Elephas maximus indicus: one gene and its partner. The protein of the gene in region 2 purifies or fractionates together with the protein of the main gene of each other region. This does not show direct contact. Links are inferred from orthologs where the notes say so. Each region holds a gene or a part of one and is shown on either strand. Other genes may lie near its edges.

What was found. The genes of interacting proteins can lie anywhere in the genome.
Region 1: the proteins of FIP1L1 (region 2) and CSTF2T purify together in Homo sapiens (co-immunoprecipitation; 3 studies listed by BioGRID and IntAct, with this or other methods). This does not show direct contact. The link is inferred for Elephas maximus indicus from reciprocal best matches to the Homo sapiens genes FIP1L1 and CSTF2T.

Annotation. Positions count from the first base shown.
Region 1 is NC_064834.1:36,488,849-36,496,703, forward strand, and holds the start of CSTF2T (cleavage stimulation factor subunit 2 tau variant), read left to right. Parts: upstream 1-4,853; 5' UTR 4,854-5,012; coding exon 5,013-6,884; 3' UTR 6,885-7,855. UniProt on the Homo sapiens protein: May play a significant role in AAUAAA-independent mRNA polyadenylation in germ cells. Directly involved in the binding to pre-mRNAs.
Region 2 is NC_064823.1:108,330,144-108,337,787, reverse strand, and holds the start of FIP1L1 (pre-mRNA 3'-end-processing factor FIP1), read left to right. Parts: upstream 1-4,629; 5' UTR 4,630-4,827; coding exon 4,828-4,912; intron 4,913-6,093; coding exon 6,094-6,138; intron 6,139-6,233; coding exon 6,234-6,273; intron 6,274-7,644.

The DNA of each region.
Region 1 (7,855 bases), on a different chromosome or scaffold from region 2:
CCCAAAGCCAACTCTTCAGACATGGATTGGACTGGACAATGGGTTGGAGAGGGATGCTGGTGAGGAGTGAGCTTCTTGGATCAGGTGGACACTTGAAACTATGTTGGCATCTCCTGGCTGGAAGGGAGATGAGAGGGTGGAGGGGGTTAGAAGCTGGCGAAATGGACACAAAAAGAAAGAGTGGAGAGAGAGAGCAGGCTGTCTCATTTAAAAAAAAAAAAACTTTTTTTTTTTTTTTTTTTTACTCTCTCATTAGGGGGAGAGTAATTGGGAGTGTGTAGCAAGGCGTATATGGGTTTTTGTGTGAGAGACTGACTTGATTTGTAAACGTTCACTTAAAGCACAATAAAAATTATAAAAATATCAATCTTAGGGTATTTGATATCTTGGTCTATTAAAAGAATAGACATCTGGGCATGCAAAATGCCTTGCATGTTTTCTTCAGAATATATACCATGCATAGAAAAAAGGAATATAAAATGGATGTTTTTCCAAGATAGACCTATGAAAAGTGTGTATTGACACCAGGAAATGCACACAGGTTTTTAAGAGCTCTTGGTGATTCTGGGCCTCTCAGTTAATAATATATTAGTTTACGTGTTCCAGGCATTCAGATATGTACTAAGTCACACTGGCCTTCTATGAAAGGGCCATATCAAAGCATCACTCACCGTTCTTCTAGTTAGGAAGAGGGGGACTAAAGAGTACATGGAAATTCTGTAACAAAAAGCAAACTCTTATGTTTGCCTGTTTCCCGAGTTCCTCAGCTACTCTGTGTTCACCCATCTTTTGAAGCTAGGGTATCTTCAGTGTGAGATCAGCATGTCCCAGCTATACTACACGAGCATAACAAATTAATGGATTGAAAAAAAAAGCACCCAGACCTCATATCTTTTAGTGGAGCATACTAAATTTAGTTTGGTTTGATGAGAATGAAGAAAAACACTTCAAGTTCTTTGTTTGGACCAGTGGTTCTTAAACTGTGGTTCCAAGACCTGCCAGCATTAGTATCACCTGAGAACTTGTTAGAAATGTAAATTCCCCAGCCCCATTCCAGACCTTCTGAATCAGAAACTGGGAAGGAATGGAGTGAGGCCCGTCAATCTGATTTTACAAATCCTGGTTCCAGGTGATTCTGATAAATGCACAAGTGTCAGAACCACTGGTTTAGATACTATCAGCAGCAGCAGCGGAGCCCTGGTGGGGCAGTTGTTAAGAACTGGGCTATAAACAGAAAGGTTGGCAGTTCAAATCCACCAGCGGCTCCTTGGAAACCCTCTGGGGCAGCTCTACTCTCTCCTACAGGCTCACTATGAGTTGGAATCAACCCAATGGAAACAGGTTTGTTTTGGTTTCTTGGTATCATCAGCAGTAAAAAAAAAAAAAAAAAAAGGAAAGAAAGAAAGAAAATTCACTATTAGACTGAGGTACACAACCTTCTATCAACTATACAACCAGTTTACTCTGATACCCTCTTACCATCCCCTTGATTCCTACATTCAATACACATAATCAGTCACCCACACAACCAATGTCTAAATTCCTTGATAGAATGTGGGTAAAAAGGCATGGCTTCTCTTTGTAAAGGGATGTATGGAAAAGAGACTAACGGGCTCCTTTTTAAAGTTTTCCTCAGTGATATCCTCAATTCTCTCCCTTTCCTCTCCTCTCTCTCACCCCCAAATAAATCGCGCATGTGCGCGCACACACACGCACACGCACACACACACACACACACAAAACATTACTAGTAGGTGGCTATTCTGTTTCTCTAAAGAAACAGGAAGTTTTCATTAAAAAAAAATTCATTAGGTTATATAAATACCCCATATTACTTGCAATCAGAGCTTCAAACCAGTTTGTTCTGGTTTGAGCTCTTGCTCAGAATTTGCATTTCTACCCCAGGCACACTGAATCAGAATCTACAGTTTAACAAGATCCCCAGGTGATTCTTTCATATAATAAACTTTGAGAACCACTGCTCTACTAGTGCTTCTCAGGGTTGGTCCCTAACCACCAATATTAGCATCAACCGGGAACTTGTTAGAATTGCAAATTCTCAGCCAGAGGTTCAAACCAGAAGGCACCGGTTCTCAGCCGTACTTGCCATATAAGTTGCCCTGTGTCTTGGGAGGATATCTGTATCTAAACTCGTTTTAAAGAACTACTAAAATTTTTTTTCTGTTATACATAAGGCTGCAAGAATGAAAGACTACTCAAGGTAACTAACAATAACAGAGCCTTTGAGGGGTAAATGGCTGCTTGGTTTTGTGGTTATGCCATTATACTCATCAGATCTATTCAGATATGTGACCCAATATCTGCTGAAACTTAAAGTTTCATAATTCTCCCAAAAGACATAGTTAGAATAAAGTGTTTCTCTGCCTCGCAGTTAAGGCTTGGGTTACTGGAGCAGCGCTGTCCATAATGTAAGGGACAGAGTTAAACTGTTCCCCCTCCTCCCACCAATCCCCCCAACCCGTGAGTTCCTGATAAGACATTTCTGTGTTACAGCCCAAGGTCATCTTATTGCTTCTCTGCTCAAGGCCATTACACTACTCACCAACCGTCCCCCACCCCTCCATTCAGACATGAGCAATAAGCCACAAAGCTGTTCTTAAATGAACTTCATGCATCACACTCCTCCAAAAACACATGGCCCCAGTCACCATATTGCACCCCCCACTGCACCCATTAGTTCCTGAAATTGCCCAGCTATTCCCAAAAACTTGGTGAATTATGCATAAATTTCCTATCCTGAACACTATAACTGCCCTAGAATTCCCAACTTTGGGGAGATTAATTTGAGACTTTAGTCTCCAAGTTCCATGCTTGACTGGCTTGCGGTAAAGCCTACTTTTTTCTTCTCAAAGGCCTAGTGTCTCTCAACTGACTCAAGGGGTTGCACCGGGCAGAACCCACCCTCATCGGGTTACAACAGACATAATGTAATCCATGTAGTAATTTTAAACTTTCTAATAGGCATGTTTAAAAAAAATGAGTGATGCTACTGATAAAAATATATTTCATTTTACCCAATATATCAAAATGACATTATTTCAACATGAAAACAATATAAAATCACCTGCTGTTAGGTGCTACAGAGTCGGGTCCGACTCACAGCAACCCCATGCACAACAAAAGGAAACACTGTCCGGTCCTGCACCATCCTCACAATTGTTGCTATGCTTAAACCCACTGTTGGAGCCACTGTGTCAATCCATCTCATTGAGGGTCTTCCTTTTTTCGCTGACCCTCTACTTTACCAAGCATGATGTCTTCTCCTGGGACTGATCCCTCCTGATAACATGCCCAAAGTATGTGAGACATAGTCTCACCATCCTTTCTTCTAAAATCACTAGTGAGATATTTTTATTTTTTTGTACTTAGTCTTCAAAATCTTGCATGTATTTTACACAGATAGCACATCTCAATTAGAACGTTAAATTTTCATTAGAAATCCTTAATTTATACTTAGATTTCATAAAATTTATCGACGTAAAAGTACACACCCAAGTTGTTCCAAACATATTTAAAAGTTTTCCAACAGCCAAGTGGAGTATCAGTTTCACATTAATTAAAAAGAAGCTAAAAACTTAAATTCCTCACTCACACTAGCCACATTTCAAGTACTCGAAAGCCCTGTGAACTAGTTGCTACTATATGGCACAGAACAGCTCAGGACGATTGCCTTTTACTGGCTTCCAGACCTTGGACAATTTACCTAGTCCTTTTTTCCAAGTTTCAGTTTAACCTTTTCCACATTCGGTCTTATAGTCTCTTAAATAGGGACAGGAACCCACATTTAATGTGTTTCAACTTCCGCCTGCAAAACTAATCCAAACCCCAAACTCTTTGCCACCGAGTTTATTCTGACTCACAGCACTCTATAGAACAGGGCAGAACTGCCCCACAGTGTTTTCAAGGCTGTAAATCGTTATGGAGGAGACTTCCACATCTTCCTCCCACAGGGCAACAGATGGGTTTGAACTACCACCTTTCAGTTCGCAGCCAAGCTCTGAACCCCTGTCCCAGCAGCTCCTTTACAAAACTAAACTCCTTACAAAATTAGCTGTTTTCTCCTTCACAGTAGAGGTTGTGAACTCATTGCATCAGTTTAACAATAAAAAAATTAAAACCAACCTAAATGCCTATCAATATAATAGTTACATGAATGTATTAATACTCTGCAGCAATACATTTTATTAGTCATTAATACTGTCAATTAATATATATGTGTATACATATATTTAAAACTCTGAATAGCATGACCACTGCCCGCGTGCAAAGAGAAGAATCTGGAAGTCACCCGTTAACAGCCGTTACCTGAAGCAACAGGATGGGGGAGGGGGAGAGCTGACACACGAGTTCGGCTTATATTTACGTGCAGTTATTTTCCTTCCCCTCCCCCCTCCCAAGAAACTATTACTTAATCTAAGGGGCAAATCTCAAATGTGCTTCGCAACGACTACACTTTTTCCTCGTAATCTGAGACGAGATTTTTATATATAATTTAAATACCCTACGGTATGCAGCAACGGTTACAAGAACGTATTTACATCCAAACGAAGCACACGTTGCCTTATTCAGCTTTCGGTTAGCGGTCCCCGCCCGTCCAACGGAAACACAACCACCCTTGACGTCAAGGGAGGCGGTCTCTCCCTGTTACCATAACGTAGTCCCTGCGGCCATCTTTACTGTGGTCAACTCACACCAAGCCTATACTGGTAAGAGGGGGGCTCCATGGACAATCTACAGGATAAAAGACGGGAAAGGAATCATGCGTTTCAGTAATAAGTAGACAGAAGCACGAAGGACCAGGGGCGGAAAGGCATTAGCTGTATTAGTGGAACGCAGAGGCGCGGCTTCCATGAATAAGCGGAACGCCTCAAGTGCACAGTGAGGTTTCTGCCCGGATTTTGAGAGCTATTTCCGTTGCTCGCCGGAAGTGTAGGTCGCAGGAGGACGACTCGTAGAAGAATCGGTTATCCTGTGTGTGAACAACCGGCATCATGTCGAGTTTGGTGGTGAGAGACCCGGCAATGGATCGATCACTGCGTTCCGTGTTCGTGGGGAACATTCCGTATGAGGCAACTGAGGAGCAGTTAAAGGACATTTTCTCTGAGGTTGGTTCCGTTGTCAGTTTCCGGCTGGTGTACGATAGAGAGACGGGAAAACCCAAGGGTTATGGTTTCTGCGAGTATCAAGACCAGGAGACCGCGCTTAGTGCCATGCGGAACCTTAATGGGCGGGAGTTCAGCGGGAGAGCGCTCCGGGTGGACAATGCTGCCAGTGAAAAAAATAAGGAGGAGTTAAAGAGTCTAGGGCCTGCAGCGCCCATCATTGACTCACCCTATGGGGACCCCATCGATCCGGAAGATGCCCCTGAATCAATAACCAGAGCAGTTGCCAGCCTCCCCCCGGAGCAGATGTTTGAGTTGATGAAGCAGATGAAGCTCTGTGTCCAAAACAGTCACCAGGAAGCTCGAAACATGCTGCTGCAAAACCCACAGCTGGCTTACGCGCTGTTGCAGGCACAAGTGGTGATGAGAATAATGGATCCAGAGATTGCTCTGAAAATTCTGCATCGTAAGATTCATGTCACGCCGCTTATCCCAGGCAAATCTCAGTCTGTCTCTGGCCCTGGCCCTGGCCCTGGCCCTGGCCTCTGCCCAGGCCCTAATGTTCTGTTGAACCAGCAGAATCCTCCCGCCCCTCAACCTCAGCATTTGGCTAGAAGACCTGTGAAGGACATTCCTCCTCTGATGCAGACACCTATCCAAGGTGGCATTCCAGCCCCAGGGCCGATCTCAGCTCCTATTCCCGGTCCTGGTCCTGGTTCCTTAACTCCTGGAGGAGGAATGCAGCCCCAAGTTGGAATGCCAGGAGTTGGCCCGGTGCCTTTAGAGCGGGCTCAAGTGCAAATGACAGATCCCAGAGCACCTATGCCTCGTGGACCCATGACTGCTGCTGGCCTTCCTCCTCGAGGACTGTTAGGAGATGCTCCAAATGACCCACGTGGAGGGACTTTGCTTTCAGTCACTGGGGAAGTAGAGCCCAGAGGTTACATGGGCCCACCCCATCAGGGTCCTCCCATGCACCATGCCTCTGGTCATGACAGCCGTGGCCCTTCCTCACATGATATGAGGGGTGGGCCAATAGCAGATCCCAGGCTGCTAATTGGAGAACCCAGAGTACCCATGATGGATCAAAGAGGTCTTCCCATGGATGGTAGAGGTAGCAGAGATTCTCGAGGGGTGGAGACTCGAGCCATGGAAACTGAGGTCTTAGAAGCACGAGTAATGGAGAGAAGAGGAATGGAGACCTGTACAGTGGAAGCCAGAGGGATGGAAGCTAGAGGCATGGATGCAAGAGGAATGGAGATAAGGGGCCCTGGCCCCAGTTCGAGAGGCCCGATGACCACTGGCCTCCAGGGTCCTGGTCCCATTAGTATGGGGGCAAGTGGGCCTCAGGGACCCAGACAGGTCCCAAGCATTTCAGGAGTAGGAAATCCTGGTGCTGGCATGCAGGGATCAGGCATACAAGGAGCGGGCATGCAAGGGGCAGGAATGCAAGGAGGAGGCATGCAGGGAGCAGGTATGCAGGGGGCGGGAATGCAGGGGACAGGAATGCAAGGAGGAGGCATGCAGGGGACGGGAATGCAAGGAGGAGGCATGCAGGGGGCAGGCAAGCAAGGTGGAGGCCAACCTAGCAATTTTAGTTCTGCTCAGAGCCAGGTAACTCCACAGGATCAAGAAAAAGCAGCTTTGATCATGCAGGTTCTTCAACTGACTGCAGATCAGATTGCCATGCTGCCTCCTGAGCAAAGGCAGAGTATCCTGATTTTAAAGGAACAAATCCAGAAATCCACTGGAGCTTCTTGAAAGGTTTTAGGAAATACTTGGCAGTTGTCTCATAGTTAATTTTGTAGCATGGTGAAGGGTGCAAAAAGCTCAATTCTGCATCCCCACACTTAAATGATAAAGGTTTCCTCCCTAGAGTGTAATCTCGTTCCTGTTTTCTTCCTTTCTGTTTTTTTTTTTTTTTAAGGGAGGTGGGGGGTGGGGAGGGAGTGACTCTGTTCATGTTAAGTCACCGTAAACATATAAAAGTAACTGAACATGATTATATTATACCAAATAAGATTACAGAGAATGTGCAGCAATATGAAAAATCTCTGCAGTGTTAACTACATTTTTAAATATTGGCTGGAACTATGTGAAAACCAAAAAACCTAAAAGGTGACCTGTTAAAATGGTAATGTGCTAAGATAGTTTAAACTTTTTTGATCATATAATAAGATGAGCCCTGGTGTCACAGTGGTTACAGCACTAGGCTGCTAACCAAAAGGTCAGCGGTTCAAACCTATCAGCTGGTCTGTGGGAGAAAGATGTGGCAGTCTGCTTCCATAAAGATTTACAGCCTTGAAAACACTATGGGGCAGTTCTACTCTGTCCTTTAAGGTCGTTTTAAGTTGGAATCAGCTCAGTGGCAATGGGTTTGGTTTTTTGTGTATAGTAAAACTAAAGAATTTACCTCAAAATGATACATCTGTTTTTTGGTAAGCCATTTAAAATGTGAAATTCTGTTTTGGGGGCAATTGAATGCTGTATTAGGTTAAGCATTGTTTCAGTGTTCTGGAATTATTTTGAAACGTTACTGCTGACAGGTTAAATCTAAACTTGTGTTACTGGAATTGTTTTTTCTAAAGTGATGCTACCTGAAAAACCAAGGAATGCACTGGTTTGATGTTGCTTCATTTATTCCGCCCATCAGAAAACCCACACTATTCTGGCCTGATCCTGAGAGATGGTTTTGCTGGAGTAGTTCTCACCAGCTTATTTAGGTCTGCTCT
Region 2 (7,644 bases):
GAACTCATCAGCTGCGGGAGAAAAATGCAGCAGTCCGCTTCCGTAAAAGATTTACAGCCTTGGAAACCCTATGGGGCAGTCCTTCTCTGTCCTGTATGGTCACTACAGAATTGACTCCATGGCAACAAGTTTGGTTTGGTTTGGTTTGGTTTTGAACATGCCAATAGTGCTTCCGCCTCAGAGTCTTCGCATTTCTTACTCCCTCTATCTGATAGTCTATGCATCTAGAAACCCACAGGGATTATGTCCTTGGTCCATTCAGCTCTCTTATATCACCTTATGAGATTGGCTTTCCCTGACCATTTCATATAAAATTGCATCCCATTCCTCTTTATCACTCTACTCTGGGTCCCCAGAAGCACTTACTGATGAAGATCAAAGACCACAGCCTTCAGTATGGATTATAGCTCAACATAAAGAAAACAAAAATCCTCACAACTGGACCAATAAGCAACATCATGATAAATGGAGGAAAGATTGAAGTTGTCAAGGATTTCATTTTGCTTGGATCCACAATCAACAACCATGGAAGCAGGAATCAAGAAACCAAATCCATTGCACTGGGAAAATTTGCTCCAAAAGACCTCTCTAAAGTGTTGAAAAGAAATGATATCACCTTGAAGACTAAGGTGTGCCTGACCCAAGGCATGGTGTTTTCAATCGCTTCATATACACACAAAAGCTGAATGATGAATAAGGAAGATGGAAGAAGAGTTGATGCCTTTGAATTGTGATGTTGGAGAAGAATATTGAATGTACCACGAACTGCTAAAAGAACAGACAAATTTGTCTGGAAGAAGTACAGCTGGAATGTTCTTAGAAGCAAGGATGGCGAAGCTATGTCTCTCAAACTTTGGAGACTGTCTTGGCTATCTAGTGCGCTATAACAGAAATACCACAAGTGGATGGCTTTAACAAAGGGAAATCTATTTTCTCGCAGTCTAGTAGGTTGTTGTTGTTAGGTGCCGTCAAGTCGGTTCAGACTCATAGCGACCCTATGTACCACAGATGACCTTCCCCAGGGACTGATCCCTCCTAACAACACGTCCAAAGTATGTAGGCTAGAAGTCCAAATTCAGGGCGTCGGCTCCACGGGAAGCCCTCCTCTCTTTGTTGGCTCTGGAAGAAGGTTCTTGTCCTCAATCTTCCCCTGGTTGAGGAACTTCTCAGGTGCAGGGACCCTGGGTCCAAGGGATGTGCTCTGCTCCCGGTGATGATTTCCTGGTGGTATGAGGTCCCCACTCTCTGCTTGCTTCCCTTTCTTTTTACCTCTTGTAAGATAAAAGGTGGTGCAGGCCACACTCCAGAGAAACTCCCTTTGCTCTAGATCAGGGATGTGGCCTGGTAAGGGTGTTACAATCCCACCCTAATCCTCTTTAACATAAAACTATAATCACAAAATGGAGGACAACCACACAATACTGGGAATCATGGCCAAACCAAGTTGACACACATTTTGGGGGGACACAATTCAATCCATGACAGACATGTTATCGGAGGGATCAGTCTCTGCAGAAGGACATCATGCTTGATAAAGTAGAGGGTCGGCGAAAAAGAAGACCCTCGATGAGATGGATTGACACAGTGGCTGCAACAGTCGGCTCAAACATAACAATGATTGTGACAATGGGGCTGGACTGACTGGGCAGTGTTTCCTTCTGTTGTACATAGGGTGGGTATGAGTCAGAACTGACTTGATAACACCTAACAACAACAACTGGGTCCCCTTATCCTGCTTACTCTTCCTAATCCTTCCCACCACTGCAGGTGTTATGACTGTACATGTTTATCATCTGTCTCCCTTGTTAGAATGAAGGCTCCATGAAAAAAATAACTTTGTTTTACTAACTACTGAATCTACAGAACCTAGAATAGTATCTGGCACTTGGTAGACTCTAAAAATATATATTGAATAAATAAATAAATGAGAGGAGATGAAAGAGAATTCATGAAAGATTTCACAAAGGGCATTATACCACAACAGAATTTAGAAGGATGCAAGAGATTATCCTAAATGGATAAGGGAGACTGGGAATAGCAGGTAGAGGAGTATTCAAAGTTTGTTTTGTTGTTGCCGTCCAGTTGATTTAGACTCATGGCAACCCCCCATGTAGGGGGGATTTAAACCACATGGTTTGTTTAAATAACATGAAATGGTGTGGTTTTCATGGAGTAAAAACACTTCACTTGTACTTCTAATATGGCCCATCTGCCTTTTCCCTTGTAGGTGTGCTAATTATTTCCCACCCTTCTTTCTCAATAAACTGAAAGCTTTTTAAGGATCATGTCTGTAATTTTCAAATTATTAAATACTGCAGATATTCAGTAACAAATAAATAAATAAAAGAACAGTATTTATTGATTAGAGAGAAAGAAAGCCCGTTGCTAAATTTGTAACACTAAAACGGATATCCTTCTGCTCAAAAGTGAGTGTTCCGTTTGGAAACTTTAGAACAGAAAGGGACTTTGTTGTTGTTAGCTGCCATCAAGTATTCCCCACCTCCCACCCCTCACAGACACAGGGTGACTCCATGCACAAGGAAATGAAAGCCGCCCTTTCCTGCACCATCTCCATGATTGGTTGTTGATCAGAATATTGAGATCCATAGAGTATTAATTGGCTGATTTTTGAAGTAGATGGCTAGGCCTTTCTTCCCAAGGGGATCTTAGAGATCATCTTATTCAGTTTTCTTATTTTATAGCTGCAAAAACTGAAACATAGTTTGACTATACTAGGTCATGCAACTAGCTAATCATAGTTAAGAACCATGACCCTAGTTTTGTTTTTTCCTTGGAAAATACGTTCTCAAAAGTGGCCTGAAAATTTGGTGTTATTTATTAAAATACAAACCATTTAATTTTTATTATTTGTATTAAACTGAAATCACATATTTCATGATCTATCTTGGAGAAACACTTGTAAAAATCTGCAAAAGGTCATTTACAAGGATCTTCATCGTAATTTTTTTGTGGTAAAAATTAAAAGTTGGAAGTTTATCAATATGGGTACAGCTATAGTCACATTGTGATACCCATAAAAACCCCACTGCCATCAAGTCGATTCCGACTCAGAGCAACACTATAGGACAGAGTAGAACTACCCCACAGAGTTTCCAAGGAGTGCCTTGCGGATTCTCACTGCCGACCTCTTGGTTAGCAGCCGTAGCACTTAACCAGTTAAGCCACCAGGTGTCCAAGTAATATTATAAAACATTTAAAAATGGACATAGTTCTATATATACTAACATGGGAAAGATCTCTAAGACATTGCTGAGTTAAAAAAAAAAAAAAGTCAGTCACAGAATAACATACAATACTATACTAAGACCAGCTGTCTTAGTCATCTAGTGCTGCTATCACAGAAATACCACGAAAACCAAACCCACTTCCGTCGAGTCAATTCCGACTCATAGTGACCCTATAGCACAGAGTAGAACCGCCCCATAGAGTTTCCAAGGAGTGCCCGGCAGATTCGAACTGCTGACCCTTTGGTTATCAGCCATGGCACTTAACCACTACACTACCAGGGTTTCCGAAATACCAGAAGTGGATAGCTTTAACAAAGAGAAATTTATTTTCTCATAGTCTGGGAGGCTAGAAGTACACATTCAGGATGTCAGCTCTAGAGGAAGGCTTTCTTTTTCTGTTGGCTCTAGGGGAAGGTCCTTGTCATTAATCTTCCCCAGCCAAGGAGCTTCTCAGCGCAGGGACCCCAGGTCCAAAGGACATGCTATGCTCCCACTGCTTCTTTCTTGGTGGTATGAGGTCCTGATGTCTCTCTGCTCACTTCTTTCTTTTACACCTCAAAAAAGATTGGTTTAAGACACAACCTAATCTTTTAGACTGAGTCCTGCCTCATTAGCATTTACCTACTGCTTATCCCATCTCATTAACATCATACAGATAAGATTTACAGCACATAAGAAAATCACATTAGATGACAAAATGGTGGACAATCACACAATACTGGGAATCTTGGCCTAGACAAGTTGACAGTTATTTTGGGGGGATACAATGCAATCCATGACACCAGCCAACCCCAGGTAGCCCCGCCAAAACTGTATGTGTGAAGCAAAGAATATTTCACAATGGTGTATATCAGTGGTTACTCTAGTAAGGGGGGTAGTGGATGAAAGTGCTCAAACCTTAACCTTAAGGTTGTTTTGTGTGTGTGTGCGTGTGCATGTGTGTGTGTGCGCGTGCACCTCTGTTCAACAAAGGGAATGTATTATTCATATTAATGTTTGCCGCTAAAATTAGTATTTTTTAAAAAGTGGAATGAATTATCATCTCTGAGAAACGGGACTAGAGTAGCAATTTTCTAACAAGGCTGATATAATTTGTAAAGGATAAAAAAAGCCTTTCTTAAGATTAAAAAAAAATGTTTGGGAAGACAAAGCATCAAGGGTAAAAAAAAAAAAGGGAACAATGGTGTACTTGCTGGCAAACGCAATACGGACTATTACAAGCAACACCTGTGCAAGCGAACACAAGCACACGCAAGACTAAACTCAACAGGAAAGCGGCATTCCATAGGGGCGGGGCAACCGCCGGCGCATGCGCAACCAGGTTCAGGTGGCCGCCGCCGCGGAAGCGAAGCCATCTAGAGACGCCGTACCGCTCGGGTACTGGTGCGCGTGCGCAGACGAACCTGCGCAGGGGTCTTCATGTTTGCCGCCTGTGCTGCCTTTCCTGGATTTAAGTCGCGCGCTTTCTTCGTCCTGTCTCTGCGGGGTTCGCGCCCCTCTCGCGCCCCTAAGCAGCGAGGCTGGGGAAGGGGTTTGAGGGGCTGTTGATCGCCGCCTTTAAGTTGTGCTCGGGGCGGCCATGTCGGCCGGCGAGGTCGAGCGCCTAGTGTCGGAGCTGAGCGGCGGGACCGGAGGGGATGAGGAAGAAGAGTGGCTCTATGGCGGTACGGAACTTCCTGTCCCTGTCTCTTTCTCCGGGGTTTATCTCAGGCCTCCCTTCCCGGCCCGCAAACAGCCGGCGTCCCGGGTCCTCAGGCTTGGGCCTGAGTTTAGGCCTACCATGTTGCGCGCCACCCTACCCCCTGCTTCCCTTCTCCTTGGCCTGCAGCCCGCCCAGCCCAGCCCAGGACCCCAGCAGGCACTCACCCTGCAGCCGCTGGCTACCGGGCCCTCCGAAGCCAGCAGCTGCGGGTCGGGGCCCGTGCGGTGGAGCTTTGCGCGCCTCTGCACCGAGACTGCTCCGCCGTCTGGCCTCCGCGCTCTTTACACCAGTGTTTCATATCGATTCTGAGGTGTATTGGTTTGTCCCTTCTGGCCCCTTGGTTGTGGGATACCATTCCCGTCCCTTGTTTTAGAAAGTCATTCTGTAATAATAGCTCAATAAAGTTAATGCTGCAAAACTAACGTCTTGTTTCTTAATGGTCAGTTTGTATGGAATGCACCTGCAAGGGTACCTCTTTGTCTGAAAGTCGTGCTTTAAAAATAACTTAAAAAGAGAGAGATGGATTACATGTTATGGCCCTTAAAGAAAACCCTGAAAAATCCCTGCGTTAAGGTGAAGTGTTTTTTGTTTTTGTGTTTTTTTTTTAAAAAGAGATTGCTCTTTAACCCTTATCATAGAAGTACCTCAGGTCCCTTAGGATAATAGTTGTCAATATCATTTCGTAGTTTTCTCAAATTTAATGCGTCTTGTGGTTCCCTCTTCAAAAGGGCTTGACTTTTTTTTTTTTTAACTTTAAGTAACAGTTTCTTCTCAGCTGTTACCGACACCAGTTTTGAAAATTATTGTTTATTCTTTGCCTAAAATTTAAATTCTTGATTAGCTTTAGGAGTGTGCAGTAAAAGTGCACGTTTGTGTACCATGCTGTTTAGTGCTGATGTGACTTGGATAAACTTTTGATAACAGTTGTAAAATAAATTCCTTATCTTTGGTCAAAAGATTTAGCATTCAACCTAGTATTGTCTGAAACGGGAACGTGTAGGGTTTCTTTTGTAGACTATCTGGATAGCTTCAATACTTCTTAAACAAAGCTTATTTTTATAGAAGTAAGGTGATTTTTTTTTTCCATTAGAGACTTATCTGTTAAATGATTATAAGGTGATCTAACTTTGGATGTGCTTATAGGCCCATGGGACGTGCATGTGCACAGTGATATGGCAAAGGACCTAGGTTAGTGCTTGTGATGATCACTTCAGATTTTCATAATACTAGTTCCTTTAAGAGTGGCTTGCTTATTTATTTATTACTATTTTTTTTTTTTGTAGATGAAAATGAAGTTGAAAGGCCAGAAGAAGAAAATGCCAGGTTAGTGAAATATCCTGTTGTTACTTGAGCAGTTGTGTGATGCCGTGGTTCTGGCAGTGGAATTGTCAGAATTATTTCATTTTAATAATTGATGTGATTACAATAGTTGGACTAAAGTTCAGAAGACATTGAATCCTTACGGGTTTATTCTTATTTCAGGACCTAATCTCATACCACTTCTGTTTGTTAGCAGTTAAGGGAGCAGTTCTTCAGGTTAGGGTTTGTAACTTTTCACTAGTAACTTTTTATTCCTCAGGAGCTATATGGTGTTTTATAGGGGAGTCCCTGGGTGGCGCAAATGGTTATATGCTTGATTATTGGCTGAAAGGTTTGTGATTTGAACCCACGCAAAGGTGTCTCGGAAGACAGGCCTGGTGATCTGCTTCCGAAAGGTCACAGCCCTGAAAACCTTATGGAGCAGTTCTACCCCATGACGCAGAATCAACTGGATGGCAGCTAACAAACAACAACAATGGTGTCCTATATAGTGTAACCATAAGTCTACTAAGAAAGATTATAAACCTGATTTTAAAAAAATGTTAAATAAGGGAACCAAAAGATTACTGCTTTTACAGTTCATTATCATTTTTGATTGTATGATGCACTTTGGTTATAATTTCAATCTGGTTTATATTTATTTGGATTCAAAATGAGATGAACTAATATGTGAGATTCTCCCTGGTTACTAGAAGGGTATGAGTATCGTGTACAGAACATATACAAAGAGCCAGGAACTTAATCTAAATTTCAGAACAACTCAAACATACAAGTGCATAGATACGCGGACTACTCTTCCCAGATACCTTAGTGTTGTATAATGAGAGTGGAGTTAGAGGGTTTCTTTAAAAAAGAGCCTCTAAAGAATATTTATGTTTAAAAGTGGAGGAAACACCACTTTATACCCACACGGATGGCTTCAGTAAAAACATTGTAACAGTTGTTGGTGACACTGTAGAGAAATGAAGCTCTCATATACTGCTGATGGGATTGTAAAATGGTGCAGCTGCTTTGGAAAGCAGTCTGGCAGTTCTTCAAAAGGTTAAAAACATATGACCCAGTAATCCCATTCCTAGGATACTTTAGCAGTTGTATGATGCTATGAGTATGTTGCTGTGAGTCGGAATCGGCTCAATGGCAATGGGTTGGGTTTATGATGCAACTAGAGAAATGAAAACATACATCCACACAAAAACTTGTACACAAATGTTCACAGCAGCTTATTCATAATAGAAAATGGAGACAACCCAAGGGCTCATCAACTGATGAATGGATAAACAAAAGTGGTATAGTCATGCAATTGAATGTTTTTGGCAAGTAAAAGAAGTACTGATACGCTGCCACATGGATGAACCTTGAAAACGTGCTAAAAAG